4 linked regions of the Arabidopsis thaliana genome follow. The protein of the gene in region 1 interacts with the protein of each later gene in a pairwise test. Each region holds a gene or a part of one and is shown in the gene's direction. Other genes may lie near its edges. The genes, in order: AT5G55330, AT5G56100, RK3 and ARGOS.

Region 1 (3,888 bases):
TGCATTTATCTTTAATCACAGCGTTTTTCCTCACATGGCTTGCTAATTTCAAACTCATCCTCTTCTCCTTCGATAAAGGTCCTTTAATCCCAATTCCAACAAATTTCCCTCGATTCTTCTGCTTCACTTGCTTCCCCATCAAGGTTCAGCAAAACCCTAAATCTCAAAACCATTTGCCCAAATTGGTTTTCGCCATTAAACTTGCAATCTTTGCAGTGCTATTACATTTGTATAGCTACAGACAAAATCTGTCTCCGACTATACTATTAGGTCTCTATTTTGTGCATCTCTACTTAGAGATTGAGATTATATTAACGTTTGTTAAAGTTGTTGTTTTTATCTCTCTTGGCTGCGATCTTGAGCCACAGTCCAATAAACCGTACTTAGCCACATCTCTACAAGACTTCTGGGGTCGCCGGTGGAATCTCATGGTTCCGGCGATTCTCCGGCCAGCCGTTTACGCACCAATGCGGCGAGTCTCTGAACGCAAAATGAGTTCCGGTTGGGCTCTGTTTCCGGGGATTTTGGCAGCGTTTATCGTCTCCGGTTTGGTTCACGAATTGCTCTTCTTCTATTTGATACGTGAGATGCCTACAGGAGAAGTTACTCTGTTCTTTGTGTTACATGGCGTTTGTACTGCTGTAGAATTGGCGGTGAAGAAGAAAACGACGGTAGCACAGCGGTGGCGGTTGAGTCCGGGGGTGTCGCGGGTTCTCACGGTGGGGTTTGTGTTTGTGACTGGTGGTTGGTTGTTTACACCTCAGCTTAAAAGGAGCGGGGTGATGGAGAGATTCACATCTGAAGCTGTGTTGCTCGTTGAGTTCATTAAGCGATAAGTTATTTTATTTACGTTGTTGGGGATATTTTATAACGAGTGTTAAATGAGCACGAGTTAACGTTATTGAGTCCGGTTGAGCATCAAAGTCCATAATGGTCAACTACTTATCTTGAAATGAATCGAACTTGTCTTGTTGAAGATGTCGGCAAGTTGGAATTAGTAGAAACTCTTTAAGATGCTGCCAGCATGTCTCTTGGTCTCTTCATGCCGTTTCTTTCTTTCTTATCAAACCCTAAAAAAACTGACTTGCTTCAGTTCCAAGTTCGTTGTACATGACGATTTGTTTTTACTTGGAACTAAAGAATGAAATAATAGTGTTACTTGGAACCAAACCAACACTTCCTATCGATCGATCAATTTTTGTTCCCTCGACTACTGTTTGTGTCATGTTCACGTGAACCCTTTGTAGAGAGATTATCTAAATACAACATAGTTGGGAGGAAAGATCGCCAAAGAGCGTTAGCGAGAGGAAGAAAAAAACTATATGGATTTCCCATATAACGTCAAGCATAGGTCAAAATGTTTACTCTGCTGTCAAATTATTTAAGAAATAGAAGCTTCATTGCTCCCTCATCGGTAGAATTCGTCAACTTATTGCAGGTTTTGAATCATTCAAATTCTTTAGTTCCAGGCGAAAACGAATTTTTATGATATATTGATATTGCTTGTGTAGTTGTGTTACGAGAGATGGGTGCGTTTCAACTCGTACTTAGAACGGGAGGTCCCGCATGGCTTCATAATCGCATTAAGGAGAAACGACAACCTTAGTTTTATTTCACTGTTTTTTACGAGTGTTAATTATGCTCTGCTCTGCTAACTTTTTCATAAAAAAATTCAATATTTAAGACGTTGAAAAGAAAAACTATAAACGGTAGTCATACTTATTTTTTTTTATTTTTACATACACTACTAGTACTATATTACTATATCATAAAAGAGGAAAGTACTTAATTTGATAGATTTTCCAGAGCCATTAACTACTCAACAACTGCCAATAGTTTTTTCCCTTAAATGTGTAACAAACATACTGTCTTTATTAATTGCTCCCACGCTTATATACTACAACTGTAAACATTTTTCCTATGTTTCTTGGTTTATTATCACTTAACCAGTAACCATGGAGGAAGAACTCAAGTTATTCATCCAAGTATGGGTTTCTGCAATCATTTCAGTAACTTATTGTTACTACTTAACACCCAAAATCAAAACCAGTCTTCTTCGATTACTATCTGTTCTTCCTGTTTGTGTTTTGTTTCTTATTATTCCTATCTTTTTCTCCACTGTTCATTCCTCTTTCACTATTGCATTTTTCCTCTCAGGTCTTGCAGTTCCAAAACTCATCCTCTTTGCATTAGAAAAAGGTCCTCTTTTTCCACTTCCTCCTAATCTCCCTCATTTCGTCTGCTTTGCTTGCTTCCCCATCAAGCTTCAAAAAAAACCTAACCCTGAAAATACTAACCATTTCCCCAAATGGGTTTTTGCCCTGAAAGTTTTCATCTTTGGTGCCTTGTTACTACAAGCGTATCATTACAAACAATTTCTATCTACGAATTTTCTATTGGGTCTCTATGCTCTGCATATATACTTGGAGCTTGAGATTTCCTTAACCTTGATAAAATTTCTCGTCAGTATCACTCTTGGGTGTGACCTCGAGCCACAATTCAACGAACCATACTTAGCCACCTCTCTACATGACTTCTGGGGTCACCGATGGAACCTCATGGTCTCGAAGATTCTCTGGCTCGCAGTGTACAACCCCATACGGCAATGGCGAGCCAAGAGCTCCGAGTGGGATCGGTTCTTCGCGATTTTCGCCACGTTCCTCGTCTCTGGTGTGGCTCACGAGATTCTCTACTTCTATTTGACACGTGAGAAGCCTACATGGGAGGTGACTTGGTTCTTTGTGTTACATGGGTTTTGCATGGCGGCTGAAGTGGCACTGAAGAGGAAGACGAAGTTGGTGCAGCGGTGGCCGGTGAATCCGGCAGTGTCGAGACTGCTTACGGTGGGGTTTGTGTTTGTGACTGGTGTTTGGCTATTTTCCCCCCAGCCTATTAGGCACGGCTTGATGGAGAGGTTCATCAATGAAGACTTGTTTCTAATTGATTTCTTTAATCGTAAGTTATATATCCTCTTAGGGTTGTTTACGAGTCTTTAATAAATGGGAAAATTGGAAACAAAGGATAAATATTTAAAGAAAGAGATGGTAAGATTCTAAGAGAAATTGAAGCGAGGGAAATAAAGAAAGATAAATTGAAAAAAAAAGAGTTTTGTTTTGGAGTTATTTGAGAGGAGTGAACAGCTTAATTTTTGTGAAGAATAGAGGAAGACAATATCGAAGAAGTGATGAACGACGACTCCAAGTAAAAGAATATTGATTTGCTCCAAGTAAAAATAAATTGGTTTGGACTTTTTGTTTTGTATTTTGTAAGCATAAAAAAGCTGGAGATATAGTGGGATTTAAATTATATTAAACGCATATGTCACCAATCTTGATCATAAAATGTATAGATGGAAATTTTTTTAAATATTTATCTTTTATTTCCAATTTCCCCTTAATAAAATTTACATGTTTATTTATCAAAGTTGTTTTGTTTTCGCTAAACTATCTTACAAATAAATTAATAGGTGTTGAAGACAAAACTTCATTTTTCATCTATCCTAAAAATAAAGAAACCTGAAAAATATGGCAAATTTACTAAAAATATTCCGGTAGAGTAGTAGTCTTTTTGAATAATAGTATTTTTCGAAAATTGGTACATCTAAGATTCAAAAGGGGTATTTCATGAAAATTCCTCATATATTTGTCTATACTAAAAATATAACTTTATAATAATTTGATGAAATAAATCGGTGATTAATATTTTTGGACAGTTAGGTATACTGGTCTAGTGTTAAACTTGACTTGAAGTTGAACCATGTGAATTCTCCCATACGGAGAACTACCACCTTACACCGATAGTCTCAACTAAACATGAACCATAAACTCTTTGACAATTTCTCACTTTCTTTTTATTTTTCTTCTTTACTTTGAATATTAATTAGTTGGC
Region 2 (3,188 bases), 280 kb from region 1:
GTCAGATGAAGCTTGGGCTAAGGAGTTTGAGAAATATAAGCAGTCACCTGAATATAAGCGGTTAGTGTTTCGATTTTGGTAGCTAAAGCTGTTGCTTGCATTTGCGTTTTCTGTATTTGGACGAAGTCTTGATCTTGAAAATGCTGTTTGTGTTTTGGGATTTGGTGTTTTGTAGTGTGAACAAAGGGATGAACCTTGAAGATTTTAAGTTCATATATTGGATGGAGTATGCTCATCGAATGTGGGGAAGAGGATTGGGAATCATGTTTGCTTTGCCGTTTTCTTATTTTCTGCGTAAAGGGTATATTACTCTACGTCTTGGAGTTCAGCTCTCTGGTTTATTTGCGCTTGGTGCTGGACAAGGTTTCATTGGTTGGTGGATGGTTAAAAGTGGTTTAGAGGTAAGCATTAGGAAGTGTGGTAGATCCTCTTATTAGATGTTGTTATGTGCTGAATATTGTGTAACCAACCAGTAATCAGTTTGGTCTTGTAGGAGCCACCGTCTGAGTATTCTCAACCGAGGGTAAGCCCATACCGTCTTGCAGCTCACCTGACCTCAGCTTTTGCCATTTATTGTGGACTTTTCTGGACCGCTCTCTCTGTTGTTATGCCTGAACCACCAGCTGAGTCACTGGCTTGGGTTCGCGGAGCAGCTAAAGTGAAGAAGCTTGCATTACCAGTAAGCTTGATTGTTGGTATCACTGCAATTTCAGGAGCATTTGTTGCTGGAAATGATGCTGTAAGTAAACTAACAAAGTTGGATCTAAGCTTCTATTATATTAGTTACAGAAAGGAAGCTTAGTATATTGATCTCTCTGTTTGTGAATTTTAGGGTCGTGCATTCAACACATTTCCCAAAATGGGTGACACATGGATCCCAGATAATATATTTGAGATGAAACCACTTTTACGCAACTTTTTCGAGAACACAGCAACTGTTCAGGTACACCATTGACACAAAGCTTTCTCAATTTGCTTCAAGAATCTCAAAAAGACTGAAAAATTACTTAAATTTCAGCTTGATCATCGCCTTCTGGCAACCACAACATTAATCGCAATCGGAACAATGTGGTGGTTCACAAGGAAGCTAGACATACATCCAGCTGTTAAAGCTTTGATCGGAAGTACTGTTGGAATGACTGCTGTTCAGGTAAAATCAATCATCATAAACTTTAATGGAAACCTAAAATCAAAACCATTGATAAGGTTTCCCTTTTTGTATTTTGCAGGTGACATTAGGTGTATCAACGCTTCTGAGTTATGTTCCGGTTTCACTAGGAAGTGCACACCAAGCAGGAGCTTTAACACTTCTCACTTTGATGCTACTTCTCAATCACACTCTTCGGAGGCCATCACCTTCTCTTCTCAAATCTCTTCCACAAGTTGCTAAATCAAATTTCAGCTAAGCCCTCTTCACCAAAATCTTTCCTTTTTCATTATTTACTAAAAAAACAATTCTTTGGCTCACTATGCTACTAGCAAGCTTTCATCGAATCTTGTGTCAATGATGTTGTATGGTTCGAAAAATAAAGTACAAAAACAATTAACAAAAGTTTCATATGAATCCCAGAACTCTGATAACTTTCATTGATAGCTTCGTGTTGTTTGTTTCATTGCCAATAGAAAATCATTGGATAATTCTAGTTTTAGAGTCAATAATTTCTTATACCAATTTGGTTCAGTGGTAAATTTTAGTTCGGTTTTAGTTTAGATACGATTCGGTTAATTCAGTCCGGTTCAAATCCGTAAGCCTTGTGGTTGTGGATAATGTTTCGAGACAGTTTTTTGGCGTTTTGGATATACAAGACTATCCACGTGTCGTAATACTGTAGCTTATCGGTATCCACGTGTCAGTAGCCTACCATCTTCCTTTCTATATAGCCATGGTACAAAATTCTTTGTTCAACTTCACACTACTACTATGGAGAATCCTGGAGGAAGGAGAAGAAGAGACATAGCCATAACCGATGGAGAAAGAACGACCGGTTCTTCGGTTGTGGCTGCAACCGTAGCAGCTGTTGCAGTGGTAGGACCGCTTTTTGGTCTGATGAGTTTCAGCTTTGTGGCGACGGTGACTCTGTTTCTGATCGCTTCTCCATTGCTGCTGATATTTGCTCCAGCTTTTATGGTAACGGTAGCGGTTCTTGTGTCGGCTATGGTTGGTGTTGGGGTAGCTGCAGCCATGTGGATGATGGGAATAGCCGCTTTGGTATGTTGTGGCCGAGAGATTGGTATTGAAACCGGACTGGCTGGGAGGATGGTTGAGTCGGTGGTGAGAGAATTAGGTTACGGTCGGAGTCGTTACTTGCGAGACAAATCAGAGGATAGTTATTCAACTTCTTCTCCTTCTTCTCGGGATTACTCTTCTTCTTAGTTCAAACTTGGAAAAAGTCTCATGATTCATGGGAATTTCAAGAAGATGGTGAATAAAGAAACAAAAAAAAACAGAGACATGGCTATGATAAGAAAACAAAATTAAGTAGATTTTTTCGAGAGTGAAAATTTGTAATATCTATCCAAAGAAAATCTAGTAATGCTATATCATTTTTTTCAAGTTGTGTTTTTTCCCAAGTCAAGACAAATAGCAAACAGATGAAAACCAAAAATAATAGAATAAATAAATTGTAAGTTTCTTTAGGTCAAAACAGATTGTTAAGTTTAATTGATATAATAATTTTCAAAGATAAAATTAATCACAAGTTGTGGGGGATGGATTATCCGAAGTACAATCACCATGTCTATCTGAATTGTTTGAATTATCCAAATCCACATTATCCGGATTATTATCCATATTATCGAAAACATAGTTTTCCAATTTTTTTTTTTTTTTTTTGATAAAATGTGAATTATATTACCAAAAGGAAAGAGGTTATTTACAAAGCTGGGGGCAAGGAGCTTCTATGGCCAAAAAAAAATAAAAAGCCTTAGATAACTATTACAGAGAAACTGAAACTAATTTTCCAATGTTAACAAGATAAATACATATATGTCTGTAAAGTATAATGTATTAATTATCAATTGATTTTGAATTAGAAGTCTAAGAATTTTATAAGTGTCTCTCATCTAATTTTCAAATTCAAAAGTATACTACTATATCTATTCCATAAATATTACTATATATTTACATTTTGATCGATATTCAAGTTTGTAATAATGTGGATTTACCACTACTTGTTTACAACAAAAGA
Region 3 (6,488 bases), on another chromosome or scaffold:
GCAGGCTTGGTATTTGTATACTCATGGGAGATCAGAGGAGCTTGTGGATCCTAAGATCAGGGTCACATGCAGTAAGCGAGAGGCCTTGAGATGCATACACGTAGCGATGCTATGTGTTCAAGATTCGGCTGCGGAGAGACCCAACATGGCTTCAGTTTTGCTTATGTTAGAGAGTGACACAGCGACGCTCGCTGCGCCTAGACAACCAACGTTTACTTCCACCAGAAGAAACTCCATTGATGTCAACTTTGCTCTTGATTCGAGCCAACAATACATCGTTTCTTCTAATGAGATCACTTCAACGGTTGTTCTTGGACGATAAGATTCTTTTGTTTGTTCTTTTGTAAAGTTTTTTTTTATATAATTGTTGTGAAAACGTATAATATTTTTTGGTTAATTAGGATAATGGAGTAATGGTTGTTGAAACTTGAAATTTTGTTCATAAAGTGAAACATTACAAATGGGGTTTTATTACAGTATGATGTTGATATTTTGAAAAAATCACCACACTATTCTTTTTCAAAAATATCACAATGGATCAATTTACAAGTATAAACAAATGAAAACAGATAAAATATCAAAAAGCATTTATCTGAAATAAATCTTCAAATAAATCGTTTATACTATAACAAAGGTGGTAGTCTTAAAATATTTAGGTTAGTTTTGAAATGAGGATCATAATAATTGTTTTTCATTCTATTAAATATAGGTGAGTTGTTTCAAATATTGTAGGATTATTGTGTTTAATTTAATTAAAATGTGATTGATTTTTATGTATAGAGTTATTATATATAAATCAAACGAGGAACGAAGAATTATGAGGATGTTCAAAAATAAGACTTTTGGAGCGTTGACTATGGTAATTAGTACTGTTTTGATGGTGAAAAGAGTATTCGGTCTTCGTATTTCATACTTATATAATATACCTAAAACCGTGTTAACATAAATTTTCCTCTCCTCCAAGCTCCAAAGCCAAAAATCGTCAAACAAAATGCATAGGACAACATTATATTTGGTGATGAATAATTCAAATGTAGACTCATTATTAAATTGAATGGAATGATGAATTATTTAGAGTTAGAGAAAAAAAGAAAAAGTCAGGAAAACGTGAAACGACCCCTTTCTTTTTTGTCTTCGGAGAATGCGGAAATAAATTAAAGTAGGGTTTGTTTGATGAATACTAACATTGAAGTTCTTATTGGGAAGGATAAAAAAAAAATTGAGTTATTTATTACGAAAAAGAACACTGAAATTTATATAACTCTCGAAGCATGCATACAAAAGGTTGACTGATAATAAAATACGAAAAAGCAATATATTAAGTAATTTATTAAAAAAAATGGTCATCAATAATATCATATTTTGAAGAAAAATTCTGAATTTATGAAGTAAAAATGACTATTGGAAAAGGAAAGAAAGCCTGACAAAAAAAAAGAAGAAGAAGACTTTTTATTTGCTAGGTCAACTATGAATTGGACTGTACACATAGTACATAACTAGATATTTTTTCCAAATGCGAACAAGAAGACCAAGAAAAGAAAAAAAGCAAGGTAATATATTATTGACAGAAATAAAATCGGTTACGTAAGGTTCACACATTACACAAAACATGTCCGATATCTCCAATGGAAATAAACTCTCATACTTTTCTCAAGAAAGAGTGAAAAACAAAAAACTTGGTTTAGAGAAATGAGAGGTTTACCAAATTTCTACCATTCTTACACCTTCTTCTTCTTCTTCCTCTTAATTCTGTTCCCTGCTTACTCTATCTCTGCCAACACTTTGTCGGCTTCAGAATCTCTAACTATCTCAAGCAATAACACCATTGTGTCTCCTGGTAATGTCTTCGAGCTTGGTTTCTTCAAACCCGGTTTAGATTCTCGTTGGTATCTTGGAATTTGGTACAAGGCAATCTCTAAGAGAACCTACGTATGGGTTGCAAACAGAGACACTCCTCTCTCTAGTTCCATCGGAACTCTCAAAATCTCCGACAGTAATCTTGTCGTTTTGGATCAGTCCGATACACCGGTTTGGTCGACGAATCTGACCGGAGGAGATGTGAGATCTCCATTGGTGGCAGAGCTTCTTGATAATGGTAATTTTGTGCTCAGAGACTCCAAGAACAGCGCTCCAGATGGAGTTTTGTGGCAGAGTTTTGATTTTCCGACAGATACTTTACTTCCGGAGATGAAACTTGGCTGGGATGCCAAAACCGGGTTCAACAGATTCATTAGATCATGGAAATCTCCAGATGATCCATCAAGTGGAGATTTCTCGTTCAAACTCGAAACCGAAGGCTTCCCTGAGATTTTTCTATGGAACAGAGAATCACGAATGTACCGGAGTGGTCCATGGAATGGAATCCGGTTTAGTGGTGTACCGGAGATGCAACCATTTGAATACATGGTTTTCAATTTCACTACGAGTAAAGAAGAAGTGACTTACTCATTTAGAATCACTAAAAGCGACGTTTACTCGAGATTAAGCATAAGCTCCTCAGGATTGTTACAAAGATTCACTTGGATTGAGACAGCACAGAATTGGAACCAATTCTGGTACGCACCAAAAGACCAATGTGATGAGTACAAAGAGTGTGGTGTTTACGGTTATTGCGACTCGAACACTTCACCTGTTTGTAATTGTATTAAAGGGTTTAAGCCGAGGAATCCTCAAGTGTGGGGATTGAGAGACGGGTCGGATGGTTGCGTGAGGAAGACGCTACTGAGCTGTGGTGGCGGAGATGGGTTTGTGCGGTTGAAGAAAATGAAATTGCCGGATACTACCACGGCTAGTGTGGACAGAGGAATTGGTGTGAAAGAATGTGAACAGAAGTGTTTAAGAGATTGTAATTGCACGGCGTTTGCGAATACGGATATCCGGGGTAGCGGGTCGGGTTGTGTGACTTGGACCGGAGAGCTTTTTGATATCAGGAATTATGCCAAAGGTGGTCAAGATCTTTACGTTAGATTGGCTGCTACTGATCTCGGTTAGTTCATTCTCCACTATCTCTATTAGACTAAATGACATATGTTTGGTTTTCATTTTCCACATATTTACTTTTGCTAAGTAACGGTTGATAATAGTCTTCAAGATCACTTTTCAAAACATGTAAACAGTTTTATACATACTAGAAACTAAAAAGACATCATAAAAGATTTTGTCAGTAAGACTAAAAATTGATGCTAAAACTGCCCAATCAAGTTATTGAGTAATCCTATCACATTATACTAAAGATTTTCTTAAACGACAAAAGGAAGAAACGTTTTTTAAGGGTTTCAAGAATAGTAATTAACTTGGTTGTTAGATAAAGCACTTTTTTTTTGGGGTAGAATGTGAGAATGGTGTTGAATAGTGCAAGTCAATGTTATATTGTTGTTGGTTAACGAATTTGGAATTTAACAAAACGTTTTTCAGTTTTATTTTCCCTCTTTTCAAACTTCTTAAACTTGATTGAGATGTTGACGCATTCGGTCTTGGCATTATATGTGAAAACTCTTGTGATAAAGAACTAAGGTCCAATGGACTTTTAATCTTCTTAAAAGATGCAACGCATGAGTGAAACTTTTGATTACTACTATATTCTTCACAAAAACTTATCAATCTCAAGAATAATATGGTAAGGTAGATCCAAAGCCAAAAGAAATTATTTTTAGGTAGACCAATCTTTATGTTTTGTTTTTATTGGCGATAACAGTATAACGCTGTTTTTTGTTTGTTGGCGTTTATCTTTAATCAAAAGTACGACAATGTTTATTATTTTGTTAAATCATAAGACTAATACTAGTTTGTTTTATAAAATGATATTCATTTCCATGGTCGAGGTCCTAAATGTTGTGCTCAATTTGACATCTCTTTTCATTATTTCAGAGGACAAAAGAAACAGAAGTGCAAAAATCATAGGTTCGAGTATTGGAGTGAGCGTTTTGCTTCTTTTAAGTTTCATTATCTTCTTCTTGTGGAAAAGGAAGCAGAAGCGATCAATACTAATCGAAACACCTATTGGTATATCTGTAAATTTTAATTCCTTTCTTTTTGTTTGTAAATTTCTTAAAACTAATATCTTTACTGTTTTTGGTGTCTGTATGTAACAGTTGATCATCAACTGAGAAGCCGAGATTTGCTAATGAACGAAGTTGTAATATCAAGTAGGAGACACATATCTAGAGAAAACAATACAGACGATCTCGAATTGCCATTGATGGAGTTTGAAGAAGTTGCCATGGCCACAAACAATTTTTCTAACGCCAACAAGCTAGGACAAGGTGGTTTTGGTATAGTTTATAAGGTAAAAATGATTGAAAACTTAATTCATAATCTATCGCTGGACAAATATTTCGTTGTGTAACAAAATTAAGGGTTACAGGGAAAGTTACTTGATGGTCAAGAAATGGCAGTGAAGAGACTATCAAAGACATCAGTTCAGGGGACTGATGAGTTCAAGAATGAGGTAAAGTTGATTGCAAGGCTTCAGCACATAAACCTTGTTAGGCTTCTTGCATGTTGCGTCGATGCGGGTGAGAAGATGTTGATTTACGAGTACTTGGAAAATCTAAGCCTCGACTCTCATCTATTTGGTTAGTGTCTCAACTCCTTACAACTCTGTTCTAACAATTTTTCAATGTCTTTAAAAATAATGTACTCAATCCAGTGATGATTCATTAGCAGACAAATCCCGAAACTCTAAGCTAAATTGGCAAATGAGATTTGATATCATCAATGGTATTGCTCGAGGACTTCTATATCTTCACCAAGATTCACGGTTTAGAATTATCCATAGAGACTTGAAAGCAAGTAACATCTTGCTTGATAAATATATGACTCCAAAGATCTCGGATTTCGGAATGGCTAGGATCTTTGGACGGGATGAGACAGAAGCTAATACGAGGAAGGTGGTTGGAACCTAGTAAGCAATCATTCTCCAAAATATTAAAAATCTTTGTTTGAAATCTGAATTAAAAAAAAATAACTCAAAACTTTGAGTCTAATCTTCGTTATTCAGCGGTTATATGTCTCCTGAATATGCAATGGACGGGATATTCTCGATGAAGTCAGATGTTTTCAGTTTTGGGGTCTTGCTTCTTGAGATTATAAGTAGCAAGAGGAACAAAGGATTCTACAATTCGGACCGTGACCTTAACCTTCTCGGTTGTGTAAGTTAAAAACCTCTCAAACTTGATCTTGTTTTACACTCAAAATAATGATAACACTAGAAAAATTTCGATCATTATACACAGGTGTGGAGGAATTGGAAAGAAGGAAAAGGGCTAGAGATCATAGATCCAATCATCACAGATTCTTCATCAACATTCAGGCAACATGAAATCTTAAGATGCATACAAATTGGCCTCTTGTGTGTTCAAGAACGTGCAGAGGACAGACCAACTATGTCCTTGGTAATTTTGATGCTCGGAAGCGAATCAACAACTATTCCTCAACCTAAAGCGCCCGGTTATTGCCTGGAGAGAAGTCTTCTTGACACTGATTCTTCGTCGAGTAAACAGCGCGACGATGAATCATGGACAGTGAACCAAATTACTGTCTCGGTCCTTGATGCTCGGTAATGTGACTGTCAACTAGCCAATCTTCTATACTAAGATGACTAAATTGAGCGACAATAAGAATCAACTAGGAAAGATGGTATTAGTTATGTGCATAGTATTTTCTCTGTACGTCTCCGTTGCAAAGGTTACTACATGATTCAATTGTCTTAATTAAGCATGTATTCTGTAATTGCTTTATGGATAACCCAAATAGTCCTGCAGTTATAGGACATCAATGTGATATTTTGAAAGATTCTCAGACTTTCATATTATAAATTATGGCTACTAGAAGAGGCAAATATTGTTGGTTAGTAGAATTTCGGGTTGTACGTTTTGAGATTAGGTTTGTACATGTTGTAATAGATTTTTTTTTTAATAAGTACATACGTTATAAGAATTTTTTATGATCAGCAACACCTATTTCCATCGCTAACCATGGCCAAAATCCGGTGGATTTAATTTATGGGCTTTAGGAAGATCATGGGGGTATAGTGGATTTTTTGTTTTTAACTGATGACAGAGTAAATCCTTCATGGTTCCTTCATTTTAAGGTGATTTCAAATTTTCCTTCATTTCAAGGTGATTTCAATGTTTGTAGAGGCTTGATTAAAATTGTTTTAGATCATAAGGATTTTTGTGCATCAAAAGTGTTCGCAATTTCAATGTTTGGAGAGGCTTGATTAAAATTGTTTTAGATCATAAGGATTTTTATGCATCAAAAGTGTTCTGTCAAAATTCCTTAATTAACCTTTGATGAGTAGCTCGTCCTTTAATAATGATAGTTGATATACAGAATTGTGATTTATGAGCACATTAATATTGACATGAATGCTTGCTAATTTAAATTTTAAATGAGAGTTTAGAAATTTAGAATATTTAGCATAGATAATTAATTTCTTGAGAGATGATTTTTTTTGGTCGGGTTCTTGAGAGATGATTAGTGTTATA
Region 4 (3,325 bases), on another chromosome or scaffold:
ACTGAGCATATGGACCTTGTTATTGAGATTATTGTAATGCATCAAGTGTCTAAGAATTAGACCAAAACATATGTCTATGCATATTGACTGTCGAAAATCAATTAAATTAGAAGTAGGGTATATAAAACAAGAAGAAGCAATATTTAAACATGACTGACTTATTAGTAAGACAGAGGGAATAATATTATGATAATACTTTTTTTTCTTGAACTTTTTGATACAGGTCCACTGGACACCAATCTAAATGTGTGCGGTGTTCAAGGCAATAATCATGCATGGGTTGCCATATATACACACCTACATCTTAACTTTCCACCATTATTTACTCATCTAGTCTTCAATAAACAAATTCCATTACTAATTAAAAACGTACAAATAGAGATGTTTAATCGTAATACTGTATATCTATCCAAGAACAAACACACAAGTGAACTGAATTTTAAACTGATTAATTCTTTTGTTTCCAAAGAACTTAAAAGGAAGTACTTTTATTTAAATAAAAAATAAATCTTAAACCGCACCAAATAAGTTTTGGTTACTAGTGTATACATTCAGTGAACATTTTTATGAACCCATATTTTAGTAAAAGTATTCTCTTGATTGTAGAGACAAACACTAAACACAAATAAATTGATTTTTTTAGTTGAGCTTATGCTGAGAAGATCCATTTGACAATTTTCTTTCCTTTTTTTGGTCAACGATTCAAGGAGATCCATTTTCTCATCCCTAAATATACGATTTTCGTATCTGTAGAGTAGGAGTAGAAACTAGCGGATCTTTCGATATAAACATTCTAAATTATTAATTTAGGGTTTGTCATCCATGCAAAAAACTTTGTTGGTACACGTCAAATAGTTTAATATCTGAAGCTGCAGTCTTCGTATATTGTTAATTTGGCCTAATTAAAGTAATGCTGCACAATTAATGTGGATAACTAGTGTTGTAGTATTGGTAATCTATCAATTCTCCCAAACTACTCATCGGCTTTTTTGTATCTAAAGGCCAGGAAAAAAACTAATAAAACCACTTGACGTTGTTTCTAAAGGAAATGGCCTATATGTTTCTCAATTCATTGAACCATGAATTATATTTATGGGATTAACTATATTTATATATTAAAAGTAACAAGTGATTTCCGACTGAGTTACTAGCGAAGTCTATTTGCTTTAATTCATCATTCTGTGAGAATTCATCCTCTGGCGATATAAACATCTTGGCTTTATTAAAAACCATCCTCTCATCAAGACTTCACATGCAAAGCGTGTTGTCACGTTACTATGTCCGATCTCCATATACACGTAAATATATAAAAATAGCATCGTGAATTAATTTGAAAAACATTCCTAGCTATTTAACTTGGCTTTATATATAGAAATATGAGAGCATATACATATATTGGCCCAACATTTCCTGGTAGAACAAGCGCATTCACCATATGAAGTGCTTCGAGAAGAACAACACTATGGGTCCTTATTTATCCATAAACATCGACAAAATTATTGGTAGGTACGTTAATAAAAATAATTTCCTCATCGCATCAAATATTTGATTATAAAATTTTAAAAATCAACCTGTATATTAATAACTGGATGATTCAAAATAAACTAGAAAATTATTTTCTTAAAAATTTATAGAATGGTAAAAAGATGGTTTTAAAACTCATTTATTTAAATACTACTTACATATTCAGATCAGAGGAGATTGTAGCTTACGTCATATGTTATATAAGTAAAAGAAATGGTAGAAAAAGTAAGAGAAAAGAAGACCAGGGGAGAAGAACCTTGTGATTGTGGAGGAAGACTAGGCCACACGAAATTCAAATCTTTCAAATTCAGCAACTTGCTTCTCCTCACATTTGTCAGCCCCTTTATATAATAAACGTTCCTCTTTTTCGTCTTTTCAACATATCAGAAAATCCCTAAATTCACTGAACCCTCTTCTCTCTCTTTCTCCCCCCATATCTTCTGATTCTCCTCCAACTCCTTTATTAATAAATTCTCCTCTTTCATTGCTACTTGTCTTCCTCATTTCCCTACTAGTACTTGTTTCACACAGTTTCTTGATCCAACCAAAACCAATACACAAAGCTTCTCAAACTCCTTCACCTCAAAGCTTCTTCCTTTACATCTGAATCGTTGAGTTAACTCGGATTTGTTCTGCATCCTCTGTTTCTGAATCGTGGGCCATCCTTATTTTGTCTCGAATTCTTCACCAATTGCTTCGATCAAGCTGCATTGGTTAACCAGTTGCCCTAAAGATCAGATCTTTGAGCAAAATTTTGTCACTGATCTTCTAAATCCAAACCAGACACAGCAAAACAACCTCTGTAGATGATTCGAGAAATCTCAAACTTACAAAAAGATATTATAAACATTCAAGACAGTTATTCGAACAACCGAGTCATGGACGTCGGAAGAAACAACCGGAAAAACATGAGCTTTCGAAGTTCGCCGGAGAAAAGCAAGCAAGAGTTACGGCGGAGTTTCTCGGCGCAGAAAAGGATGATGATCCCGGCGAATTATTTCAGTTTAGAGTCTCTGTTCCTATTGGTTGGTCTAACGGCATCTCTGTTAATACTTCCGTTAGTTTTGCCGCCGTTACCTCCGCCTCCGTTTATGCTGCTATTGGTTCCCATTGGGATTATGGTTTTACTCGTCGTTCTTGCCTTCATGCCTTCTTCTCATTCTAATGCTAATACAGATGTAACTTGCAATTTCATGTAAATCTGAAATTTATTATATGATGATCTTAATTAATCTTAGGGTTCTTAATCCAATGAAATTGATATACAATATAAATGTAAGTTATAAATATTACATTAAATTATCATAATATATATATGTGAGAATACTTCAACGCACAATAAGAGAAATGGAGGAGAAGAGACTGACATAATATAGAAGCATCATAAGAAGAAATTATACAAAAAAAAAAAAAAAACCTCACTTCGTCATCTCAAACCCAAATCCCAATATCCGTTAATTTAAATCGTAGTATTTATTTGCTTATTTTCAACTATTCGTAGAAATTAGAAAACCAGTGAAGCCCAAAAGCAGAATCCATTTGTTTCAATCGAAAATGGCGGTAAGGTGATGCTCCAAAACCGCCATAAGGTTACGAGTCTGGCTTACTTCCACAACTGCAACAGCACAGCCTTGAAGCTGTCTCACTGCTTCTACAAGCTGTCCTCTTAGCCTCTGAGACAGTAACCGACCGTCCGCTTTCATGCACTCTCTGTACAGCGGCATGTACGCTATTGCTACTCTTAGCGGTGCAGGAAGGTCTCTTAAGGATATCGCTGACTCCCCTTTTTTCAAAACTCTCA

What was found.
Region 2: the proteins of AT5G55330 (region 1) and AT5G56100 interact in a protein complementation assay, tested with the Arabidopsis thaliana proteins (one large-scale study listed by BioGRID).
Region 3: the proteins of AT5G55330 (region 1) and RK3 interact in a protein complementation assay, tested with the Arabidopsis thaliana proteins (one large-scale study listed by BioGRID).
Region 4: the proteins of AT5G55330 (region 1) and ARGOS interact in a protein complementation assay, tested with the Arabidopsis thaliana proteins (one large-scale study listed by BioGRID).

The regions. Positions count from the first base shown.
Region 1 is NC_003076.8:22,436,933-22,440,820, reverse strand, and holds AT5G55330 (MBOAT (membrane bound O-acyl transferase) family protein), read left to right. Parts: upstream 1-1,936; 5' UTR 1,937-1,955; coding exon 1,956-2,996; 3' UTR 2,997-3,350; downstream 3,351-3,888. Other genes in the region: AT5G55340 (MBOAT (membrane bound O-acyl transferase) family protein), read left to right, coding at 1-836. UniProt on the Arabidopsis thaliana protein: Catalyzes the final step in the synthesis of long-chain linear esters (waxes).
Region 2 is NC_003076.8:22,715,200-22,718,387, forward strand, and holds AT5G56100 (glycine-rich protein / oleosin), read left to right. Parts: upstream 1-1,717; 5' UTR 1,718-1,921; coding exon 1,922-2,374; 3' UTR 2,375-2,650; downstream 2,651-3,188. Other genes in the region: COX15 (cytochrome c oxidase 15), read left to right, coding at 1-60, 176-401, 494-739, 833-943, 1,019-1,150, 1,230-1,406.
Region 3 is NC_003075.7:11,388,292-11,394,779, reverse strand, and holds RK3 (receptor kinase 3), read left to right. Parts: upstream 1-1,553; 5' UTR 1,554-1,689; coding exon 1,690-2,986; intron 2,987-3,867; coding exon 3,868-4,002; intron 4,003-4,091; coding exon 4,092-4,285; intron 4,286-4,363; coding exon 4,364-4,574; coding exon of another isoform or gene 4,575-4,579; exon of another isoform or gene 4,580-4,665; coding exon 4,666-4,903; intron 4,904-4,999; coding exon 5,000-5,150; intron 5,151-5,234; coding exon 5,235-5,561; 3' UTR 5,562-5,953; downstream 5,954-6,488. Other genes in the region: B120 (S-locus lectin protein kinase family protein), read left to right, coding at 5-322. UniProt on the Arabidopsis thaliana protein: Involved in the regulation of cellular expansion and differentiation.
Region 4 is NC_003074.8:22,127,711-22,131,035, forward strand, and holds ARGOS (auxin-regulated gene involved in organ size), read left to right. Parts: upstream 1-1,794; 5' UTR 1,795-2,330; coding exon 2,331-2,723; 3' UTR 2,724-2,762; downstream 2,763-3,325. Other genes in the region: AT3G59910 (Ankyrin repeat family protein), read right to left, coding at 3,069-3,325. UniProt on the Arabidopsis thaliana protein: Promotes cell proliferation-dependent organ growth. Takes part in the AXR1-dependent auxin signaling pathway that requires ANT during organogenesis.